3 linked regions of the Arabidopsis thaliana genome follow. The protein of the gene in region 1 interacts with the protein of each later gene in a pairwise test. Each region holds a gene or a part of one and is shown in the gene's direction. Other genes may lie near its edges.

Region 1 (3,576 bases):
TTGATTGCATTGAAGTCGATGTTTCTCGTTCCTCCGATGGTGTTTTATTCGCTCTTCACAACAGGTTACAGACTCTGATCCTTGTTGTATCATCTTCTTCTAATGTTTCTGTGTTTGGATTCTCATCGGTGTTCTTCTTATTCATCTTCTGATCACACGCACAGTCAGGGATCTGCAGCGTATTGCTCGTAACTCTTCTGTTCAAGTTGGAGATCTGAGTATGAAACAGGTCTCATCTCTCCCTCTCTCTCTTTACCAGCTTTTGGGATATGCTTTTTTGCATCCATTTTTCATAAACCTTTTGATGATCTTTTTGCAGATCAAGGAACTCGATGTCTCGGAGATTGTTAAAGGAACCTTGGGAAGTAGTAGGATTCCTACTCTTGAAGAGGCTTTAGCGGTAATGCCTGTTTTTTTAATTACTATCTTGTCATTGCTTTGCTTTGTAATTTCTGCTTAGTAACAAGTGGCTGAAGCTAGTTTTGATCTTGAATCATCTAGTTGATATCGAATTCAGTCCGGAAAGTGATCCTTGATGCCAAAGTTGGACCGCCAATGTATGAAAAGGGGTTAGCACAAGACATCCTTTCTATTGTAAGTACTATGTTTTTGTTAGCTCTTGTACTTGTAAAGCTTTAGTACAATGTGCTCGAGATTTATAAACATGTTTTGATTCCTTAATAGCGTTGCTTAATCATTTATTTCCTGGTATCTTTGTACACAAAGCTAGAACAGCTTACTATAGATACTTGAAAAAACAAGAGTATGGATAAATTGTTGATGTTTCAATGGTGGTATTTCTGGCTTTGCTCACATGAATCGCCAATCCTCTGTTGTTAGATTGAGAGAGCGCAGTGCAATAATTGCATCGTATGGGCCAAAAGCGACACTTTGGCTAGGGACATAATTAGACGAGCACCAGATACTATGGTAAACAGAAATGGATTGTCTTGTGAGGATCAGATAGAGAAGTTTCTTGCTCATTTCCTAGTGATTTTGGCAGGTGGGATACATTGTGATGGTAGATCCTTTGACTGGGGCGAGAAACAGCCTGCTGAGAATGAAGGGAGCTAGGGTTGTGGGAGTTTATCATCCCTTGATCGATGAAGAATTAGTTAGAGTTGTCCGTCGGTAAGCAATCGATTTCAATGTTTTCAAATAAAAACACACCTGCTCATGTGTTTACAACCTTGCTCGATCTGATCAACAGGAGAAACAAAGAGGTGTATGCATGGACTGTGGATGATGCTGATCCCATGAAAAGGATGCTTCACTTAGGTGTGGATGCTGTTGTGACGAGCGATCCATCTATGTTTCAGGGTCTCATGGAAGATCTTAGAACTGAGTGTCTTGAAGAAGGTTTTTCAATACGGACGTGAGAATTTCTTTTTCGAGCATTCTTAATGACTGTAATACCAACTCAGAAGTTTTTGGCAAAGATCTTTCTTTATGTTGTTTTGCTGATCCACAAGTTTTTGACAACTACACACTACGACGCCTTGATACACAGTAAGACGAGTCTTTCTCAAGAAAAGCAAAGTATGGCCGGTTCTTGATGAAGCCATTGCTTCTATCGATACAGCTACTGATAATCTGATCCAGGAGACTCTGAGGCAACACTTTTCGGACTGCACAGTGAAAACAATCTCACACAGATATCTTCTTTTATACATAACGATATGAGCCTGCTCCTAGAACAAGGTCTAATACACTTGTATTTAAGTTTAAATAATCAGATGACTGATATTAAGTCTGTTTATATAATATGGATAGAGAACGATATGATAAGGTGATTGAAGCATGTTCTTTGAGTAAAGATCTGGAGATACTTTCATTCGGTGATCAGACCGTCATTGGAGAACGCGGCATCAATTTGAGTGGTGGACAAAAGCAAAGAATACATATTGCACGCGCTCTCTACCAAGATGCGGACATCTATCTGTTTGATGATCCTTTTAGTGCTGTCGATGCACACACAGGGTCACATCTCTTTAAGGTACAATCTTCTTACTTAGCCATTAGTGTGATTGTGATTTCTCCTTCCGTAAACAATCATGTATCAAATTTATTTTCATTCTCATACTTTTTTCAGGAAGCTCTACGAGGGCTTTTATGTTCTAAATCGGTTATATATGTAACCCATCAAGTTGAGTTCTTACCTTCTGCTGATCTTACACTGGTATGTGAATAGTTCACTGTCTTTTATCATTTTCTACAGCACTGAGAATATGAAATCATCCATAACCGATTTTCTTATGCCTCAGGTCATGAAAGATGGGAGAATCAGCCAAGCTGGAAAATATAATGATATCCTCATCTCTGGAACAGATTTCAGGGAGCTTATAGGTGCGCATCAAGAGTCTCTGGCAGTAGTTGGGTCGGCTGATGCCAGTTCTGTTTCTGAAAACTCAGCTTTAGACGAAGAAAATGGTGTTGTGAGAGATGATATTGGTTTCGACGGGAAACAAGAAAGTCAAGATCTGAAGAACGATAAATTAGATTCTGGGGAGCCCCAAAGACAATTTGTTCAAGAGGAAGAGAGGGCGAAAGGTAGCGTCGCTTTGGATGTATACTGGAAATATATCACACTGGCATACGGAGGAGCTCTTGTGCCTTTCATATTGTTGGGGCAAATTCTCTTTCAGCTTCTACAGATTGGAAGTAACTACTGGATGGCTTGGGCTACTCCTATTTCTGAGGATGTGCAAGCTCCTGTGAAACTTTCTACGTTAATGGTTGTGTATGTTGCTTTGGCATTTGGAAGTTCCCTCTGCATTCTTGTTAGAGCCACGCTTCTTGTCACGGCTGGTTACAAGACTGCTACTGAACTGTTTCATAAAATGCATCACTGCATTTTCCGTTCTCCAATGTCTTTTAAAATTGCAAAAACTTGTTCAAAAACTTGTATATATTCATCATAACTATATCCAAATATGTATTATATTGACAGAAAGAAAGAAAACAAGAGAAAATAAAACATAAAAATAATCCATAATGTCAAATAAAGAAATTACAATATACTTAAAATAAATAAATATCTAAACATCTTTTTTTTAAAAATATTCTTTTTAACTTACATATAATATTGTTAAAAATTGAAAGTATAATTAACAACATCAAAGCATCAAATTTGAAGGAGAAATCATTGTTGGCAAATACGAAATCGTTCTTTGTCTAAAAAAAGAAACTTGATCTTGACGATTTCTGATATTTGAAAAATAGGCAGCCGCTAGACCAAGCATCCAAAACTTTTCATGTAATTGGTTGGTTCTTATAACGTCAATCTTAATAGAATATATTTTCTCCCATTTTTCGGTAGGATATTCTTGGTGTAAACTCCAAACGACCAAATTTGAACTTTCTAGCACATCCGATAGGCACAAACGTTCATTCAGATTCCACATTTCTATATTAGTAGCATATTTGGTGTCACACTCTGGTAATAATATCCATCGAAATTCTTCAGTGTGAAGATCGATAGCTAATAGCTGGTAAGATGTTTGACTAAGCTTCTTTAATGTCAACCAAAAGAGGGATCCGTTGGCGTAGACTGATGTTTGCTCATCGCAGAAGATA
Region 2 (3,759 bases), on another chromosome or scaffold:
ATTGAAATCACCACAGAGAATCCATGGTTTGTTACGAATCAACGGCGAGTCGTGATGAGAGCGAATATCTTCCCACAAAATACGTCTCTCCTCCACAAAATTTGAAGCATAAATAAAAGAACAAAAGAATTCTTCTTCTTTACCTTCCAACAGAATCGAACATGTTATCATTTGACTACTCTTAAATACCGGAGTTAGTCGAGCATTGTCCCTCCAAACAACCCAAATGCGGCCTAACCGATGTGATTCATAATTAGTTATAGACGACCAACCACTAAAAATAGACGAAAGTAGTTCAGCTGATCTGCCCTCCTTGACTCTCGTCTCCAGAAGACAACCAAATTGCATAGAACTGTGATTCACCCAACTTTTGATAATGGAATGTTTAGAAGATTTATTTAGACCACGGACATTCCAAAAGAAACCCGACATAAAAATTATTTCTTTTTATGAGCCCTATGACCTGAAACACTAGGGTTACCCTTCGTGTTTTGATTCGCAGAGCTTTTGACCACCTTATGCTGAGACTTTGAGATTCGTGGGATGTACGGACGAGTCCCTTGAACACCAACTGAATCTGAATTATCATTTAATTGTTGGGAGAGAACAACAATTTCTCCTTCCTCATGACCGTTTGTGTCAGCCGTGTCCTCCTCCACTGCTAGGACATCAAAACGAGAAGGAGACGCATGATTAACTACTTCTTGAGGTTGAGGACTCCTCTGCCTGCCTACCTTAGCAGGCGATACCGTGTGCCAGGGACCTTCGTCCTTCAAATTTTCCTCGTTTTCCTCTGCAACTTCCTTTCCCTTATTCTGTAAAACAGTCGGATTCTTCATTGGAACTTTCTGAGTGTGAGAATCACCGTTTAGCGTTTTTGTCAAAGTAGCCGAAGGAGATTTCGATAGTATTTCGAGAGGTTTTTCTTTCATGAGAGGAGGCTCTGTTTTATCCTCTGTTTCTATCTCCGTTGGTGTGGATAGCTGATTGGGTGATGGACGCGTTAGACAAACCTCTTGTATATGTCCCCACTTAGAGCATGAAGAGCATCTCGGCGGCAACCAAGGATACTTATATTCGACCATTGCATCAACGCCAGTTTCAGATTTAAAGCGGAATTGTTTTGGCATTTCCTGTGTTAAATCTGCTTCTACAAATACCTTAGCTTCCTCAAAACTGTTGCACAGAACTGTGTCAGGGTGAAGCTTTTTTGGTTCCCCAATAGGACTTGCAAGAAAACTCAGACCCTTCCAAGTAAACATTGAGCGTGGAACATTTTTAATGGTGATCCACATTGGCATTGTTTTAATTTCTGGCTGAGCATCCTCAGCAACCGGGGACCATTTAGAAACGATCATAGGCATGTCAGCTATGTTCCACATTCCTCTGCGAAGAACCCTAGCTCGGACTGAACTCTCTCTGATTCGGAATTTGATTGTTTTAGTGTCTACCACATATGCGTCAATCTTTACCGTCTTGTCTCCAAGTGGCCAGATCTTGTTCACAATAACGTGAACTTTTGCAATATGCGGAGATATTTGTGGAAACCGCCCTATGAGCAAATCATCCCACAATGGTGTTGAATCTTCAAAGATTTCATTTGGGACTTGGACAATCGAATCACCGTTGACCATTGTTACGTTGAATTCATGCTTCGAAAGGGTTGGTCTATTCTGAACAATTGATGAGTATGATGGTTTGGTCGTTTCTGGGGAAGCTTCTGAACTTTTCGATGTGCTCTCCACCACCATCGCCGTCGACATGATGGGGGAAGACGGCGGAAAAGCCGCCAGATCTGCCAGATTGGGACACACGGTAGTGAAACCCTAAATCGCCTTCAAAATCGCCCTGCCACGTCAGCCCTAATTTTTTACCTTTGATTGATTGGTCTATGATTAGTTTGCCGCTGAAAAAATCAACAAAATATAATGTGTCAGTGAATAACATGATTTTTCTTTTTAATCAAAAAACATGATCTTTGTATACTAATTCTGAAACTTAATTATATATATTCGATCCAATCTAGTAAACTAGTTTATAGGACGGGATCCAAACGAAATACTTATCCACGAAAGAAACCTTTATATATCTTTGTGCTCGAAAGTTTTCTCATTCGTTATTTTGGTGGCTGACTACTAAATGAAGATATACCAAATGATTTTTCTTCACTCAAGCAATTTAAGCACATAGACAAAGTAAGATCATCTGGCGATAAACCATACATTCGTGGAGGAAATATTCCTACACATGACGAGTCTCCTGAACATATACAACTATTCAACACCAGATTGATTATTTCCACGATCATTATTTAATTTTCTACCCGGAGTTGACTTTTGTATATTTCATTCCAACTTATACATGAGGTATCTCTCAGTTCCATATCTTTTGCAGTTTTCCCTAAGCAAGTCTTTGTTTTTTCTTGAGTACTAGAGAAACCGGATAGTGATCGAGAGAGAACATGAAGATTCACCTTTTGTTGGCCATGATTGGAACCTTTGTCGTTATAATTGGAGCCCAGGATCAAGAAGGTAATGATATATACCATCTCTTTCTTGTTTATAAATCAATCCTTTGACTTGTGATATGTTATATAAGAATGTATCAATATCACTTTTCCCATTTATTGCTTTTATATTTGAACAGGTTTCATCAGTTTAGATTGTGGATTACCTAGTGACGAATCTCCTTACGATGATTCGTTTAACGGATTAACATTCACATCGGATTCCACTTTCATCCAAACAGGAAAAATTGATAGTGTCGATAAAGATCTTAACATAAACTTATCAAAACAATATTTGACTCTTAGATACTTCCCAGAAGGAAAACGTAATTGTTATAGTCTTGATGTCAAGCGTGGCACAACTTATCTCATCGTGGTTAGCTTTGTATATGGAAATTATGATGGTCTTAACCGTGATCCAAACTTCGATATCCATCTTGGTCCCAATAAGTGGAAAAGAATAGATTTGGATGGAGAGAAAGAAGGTACAAGAGAAGAGATCATACACAAAGCCAGGTCAAACTCTTTGGATATTTGTCTTGTTAAGACAGGAGAAACTTTGCCAATAATTTCAGCCATAGAAATACGGCCACTAAGGAATAATACGTATGTTACACAATCTGGTTCGCTGATGATGTCTTTCCGGGTTTATCTTAGCAATTCAGATGCATCTATAAGGTAAGTCAATCTATTTGAAGCATTCAATGTGACGTTTTTCTTTTGAATAAAATTTAACATTATTCTTTTAAAAAATGTGAGGTTTTTCTCTCTTTTTTTTTCTGGAGAAGATATGAATGAGGGGATATGTTGACTTTACTTGTGTTAAAAACATCATTGTTGAATGATGTGTTCAAAATTTTAAGACTCCAACGTAACTACATTATGCCAAAACTATATGGCAAGTCATTGTAACAATTGAACAAAGAACTAAGAACAACGAACTAGAAATAAAAGATACTAATATGAGCTAAGAAAACAAATTTTTTTTTTCTTTTTTTTGTTCACAATTAAAACTAAATTAATTAATTGAAAGAAAATAAGCAAGAACCAAACAACCAAATCAAACATACAAAAGACTAACATTATTGTAAATCAAACTAAACAAGCAACGATAAATGAAATTGAATGATTGAATTCATTATTAAAAAAACGAGCCAAGGTGATTGACTCGGATAGTTGCCAACTAACTTAGTTTTTGGTATCTTAGTTTCATAGACTAGTATTTGGCTAATACAATTTACTTATTAATTTAT
Region 3 (3,759 bases), 8.1 Mb from region 1:
CGAAACGAATAATTACGAGAACTTAAGAATGTAAAACAAATCATGATGATGATTGATTATTCTATGTGTGGACGACGAATGCAATAAACATCTCTTTGTTTTACTTTCTATTTAGTAAACCTTGAGTCCTCGATGGCCAATCAAAGTACTATACGTAACTTTGTTTTGGGTAGGGAGTACTACTATACATAATTAATGTAGCATAAAGCATAACGATATATTTTCGCCTTAAAACTGTAAACTTAACCGTAATAAAATTGTGTGCCGCATGTCTAAATAATTCGTGTGTTCATCTTTTAGTGAAGTAATAAAAGGCAAGGGTAAAATGGTCCGCACAGACGCAGACATCGATGAGATCGAAAACAAAAGTAACGAGATGAGACCAAACGTGCAAGCCATGGGTTGGTCCAACACTTATCATTTTTAGGCCTAAAAGTTTGTGATTATTCCCTGCCTTTTTATCCTCCCATTTTTTCTTTTATTTACCAACATATTTTCTTTTTACATACATCAGTGAGATTTTTTCGACTTTTTTTTCAACTTCGTGTTCAAAGATCAGCGAGTTTTTTAGTTTGACTATTGATGCATCATACATTTGTTTAACCAGTGGTACATACATACGATTGATACACTTTTACAATCCACGTATTTACGACAAATGTGAATTAATATTTAATACACTTTATTATTAAATTCAGGCGTCTTTCTTTTGTGAAAAAAAAACACTTAATTATATGCATTCATTCTATAATTACTCATTTCATTATTAATTTCGTAAGTAATTATTTAGTATTATACTACTACCCCGCAGTACCATATTATCAGCTTTGAATACCCATAAATAACTAGTTTGATAACTACAATGGATTGGATTGAAACATTAGTAGACTAGGAAAAATCTCTTTTATATAATACTAGTATTCAAAAACAAAAACAAAAACTGTTATCAAATATACATCCACTTTAGTATGTTTTCCAGTACGAACCGAAATTGGAGTATGGACACTGCATAAGCAGCAGAAATGTGTACTTGAAAGGTTCACACCTTAAGATTTCATGCCGACCAATCGTGTCGGCCCACCAACACTTTAAAGCTCTTTAACCCAATTCCGCGTTCTTTCAGAAGAACAATTTCAGCATTCAACTTTTTGACCTTCCATTTTCTTTTTCTTCATTTTTTTACATTTGATTTTCTCCCCATAAAGTTTAATTTTATCATTGTTTATGTCTTTTGTCTTTTTTATGTCTTTCCTCGAGTAACACTGTCCGAAAATAACAACTCTTAATCGTGCGCAGTCACATAATTTAGGAATAACAAAGTCATCCTTTATAATTTCATTACTAGAATTTTGAAAAGAAAATTAAGAGACTACTAAGTTTTACTCCTAGTTTGACTGACCATATTTGTCGATTAATTTATAAAACATGTTGTTTGTTTGTTTTTAACGGGTAACTGGTGATAAAACAGAAATCTCTAAAACTCTACCGAGTTATATCACATTACTTGTTTAATTGGTTCAGATATTATCATCATCATATAGAACAATCCACCAGTTATGCCTGATTCTTAAAATCAGTTATACCAAAATAATTCTCATATAGAGAGAAAAATAAATTTGGTTGGAACTAAAGCAAATGACAAATCAGTACAACAACGATTACATGTATATATAACTTAAAAAGTTAAAACAAGATAATTGAATGGTTATCCAAAGAACTCTCTCACCTAATAATAATCTTAAGATGCCACAAATCCAAAAAAAAATAATCACAATTTTGCAAATTTAAATACTTTGCTTTGTCTATTCTTGGTAGGTTTTGTTTTTCTCTCTTCCGTTCACACAATTTCTTGGCGATCACGAAAGACAAAAAAGAAAAAGAAGAAAACAAGAGATTTCACATCAATCAAATCGATTCCATTGCGCGTGTAACCGCAATGCGCAATTGGGAGGACCCGTTTACGCTTGCGTGTAACACGGCCTTGAAGAAGAATCTACCTTCTTGCATTTTCATCATCATCTTTATCAGCGTGTTATGTCCGGTGGCAATGTCTCAGGTGGTTGTGCCGGATTCAGATGCAGATTGTCTCTTGCGATTCAAAGATACATTAGCAAATGGTTCAGAATTTCGTAGTTGGGATCCATTATCATCACCATGTCAAGGAAATACAGCAAATTGGTTTGGTGTTCTTTGTAGCAATTACGTTTGGGGATTACAACTTGAGGGAATGGGTTTGACCGGGAAACTAAACCTCGACCCATTGGTTCCAATGAAGAATCTGCGAACCATAAGCTTCATGAACAATAACTTCAATGGCCCAATGCCTCAAGTTAAGAGGTTTACTTCGCTGAAATCTTTGTATTTGTCTAATAACCGGTTTTCGGGGGAGATACCCGCAGATGCATTTCTAGGTATGCCACTTTTGAAGAAAATTTTGCTGGCTAATAACGCATTCCGAGGAACAATTCCTTCTTCTCTAGCCTCTTTGCCAATGCTTTTAGAGTTGAGGCTAAATGGTAATCAATTTCAAGGGCAAATACCATCTTTTCAACAGAAGGATCTTAAATTAGCTAGCTTTGAAAACAATGATCTCGATGGACCGATACCTGAAAGTCTTCGAAACATGGATCCAGGCTCTTTTGCAGGTAACAATAAAAATGTTCTACATATTAATATTGTCATATAATGCTTTTAGAATCAAATGTCAACATGACATCCTTTTTAGGTGTGCAACTAGAGAATTCATTATTTTCATATAAATTTTGCATAAACCTTTCAAGAGTTTGATGCATTTTTGATGACATGAATATTCTATGTTTTGTAAATTGTAGGTAACAAAGGTTTGTGTGATGCTCCCTTAAGTCCATGTTCCTCTTCCTCTCCGGGGGTTCCTGTTGTTCCGGTATCTCCCGTTGATCCAAAATCTACTTCTCCTCCCACGGGGAAAAAGGCCGGATCTTTTTACACTCTAGCAATCATTTTGATTGTTATTGGCATAATACTAGTGATCATCGCGCTTGTGTTCTGTTTCGTTCAATCAAGAAGACGTAATTTCTTGTCAGCTTATCCTTCTTCTGCGGGAAAAGAAAGGATAGAGAGCTATAATTATCATCAATCCACAAACAAGAACAATAAACCCGCAGAATCCGTAAATCACACAAGGAGAGGATCGATGCCTGATCCAGGAGGAAGGCTTCTATTCGTGAGGGACGATATTCAAAGATTCGATCTTCAAGATCTTTTGAGAGCTTCAGCTGAAGTTCTTGGTAGCGGAACATTTGGTGCTTCATACAAAGCAGCGATATCTAGTGGACAAACATTGGTTGTGAAGAGGTATAAACATATGAACAATGTCGGAAGAGATGAGTTTCATGAGCATATGAGACGGTTAGGGAGATTAAACCATCCAAATATATTGCCTCTCGTTGCTTACTATTACCGTAGAGAGGAGAAGCTTCTAGTCACTGAATTTATGCCCAACAGTAGCTTGGCAAGCCATCTTCATGGTATGTTTGAATAAGAATTGTTAATAATTTGACATTTTATAAAACTTTTTGTGAATACTAACTATTTGAATTATACGTTCGCAGCGAATAATTCCGCTGGATTGGATTGGATAACACGTTTAAAGATCATAAAAGGAGTAGCAAAGGGTTTATCTTACTTGTTTGACGAGCTTCCAACACTAACAATCCCTCATGGTCATATGAAGTCATCGAATATTGTTTTAGACGATTCATTCGAGCCATTGTTAACAGA

What was found.
Region 2: the proteins of NAP5 (region 1) and AT2G28990 interact in a protein complementation assay, tested with the Arabidopsis thaliana proteins (one large-scale study listed by BioGRID).
Region 3: the proteins of NAP5 (region 1) and PRK5 interact in a protein complementation assay, tested with the Arabidopsis thaliana proteins (one large-scale study listed by BioGRID).

The regions. Positions count from the first base shown.
Region 1 is NC_003070.9:26,883,359-26,886,934, reverse strand, and holds NAP5 (non-intrinsic ABC protein 5), read left to right. Parts: upstream 1-1,765; coding exon 1,766-1,996; intron 1,997-2,092; coding exon 2,093-2,179; intron 2,180-2,264; coding exon 2,265-2,921; downstream 2,922-3,576. Other genes in the region: GDPD4 (PLC-like phosphodiesterases superfamily protein), read left to right, coding at 1-64, 169-229, 320-400, 502-594, 841-930, 1,004-1,131, 1,211-1,379; AT1G71320 (F-box family protein), read right to left, coding at 3,117-3,576.
Region 2 is NC_003071.7:12,452,594-12,456,352, forward strand, and holds the start of AT2G28990 (Leucine-rich repeat protein kinase family protein), read left to right. Parts: upstream 1-2,043; 5' UTR 2,044-2,461; coding exon 2,462-2,531; intron 2,532-2,646; coding exon 2,647-3,184; intron 3,185-3,759.
Region 3 is NC_003070.9:18,740,235-18,743,993, forward strand, and holds the start of PRK5 (Leucine-rich repeat protein kinase family protein), read left to right. Parts: upstream 1-1,792; 5' UTR 1,793-1,936; coding exon 1,937-2,645; intron 2,646-2,831; coding exon 2,832-3,506; intron 3,507-3,590; coding exon 3,591-3,759. UniProt on the Arabidopsis thaliana protein: Receptor-like kinase involved in the control of pollen germination and pollen tube polar growth. The extracellular domain serves as a sensor for peptides derived from GRI. May act as a downstream element for ROS-dependent cell death induced by GRI.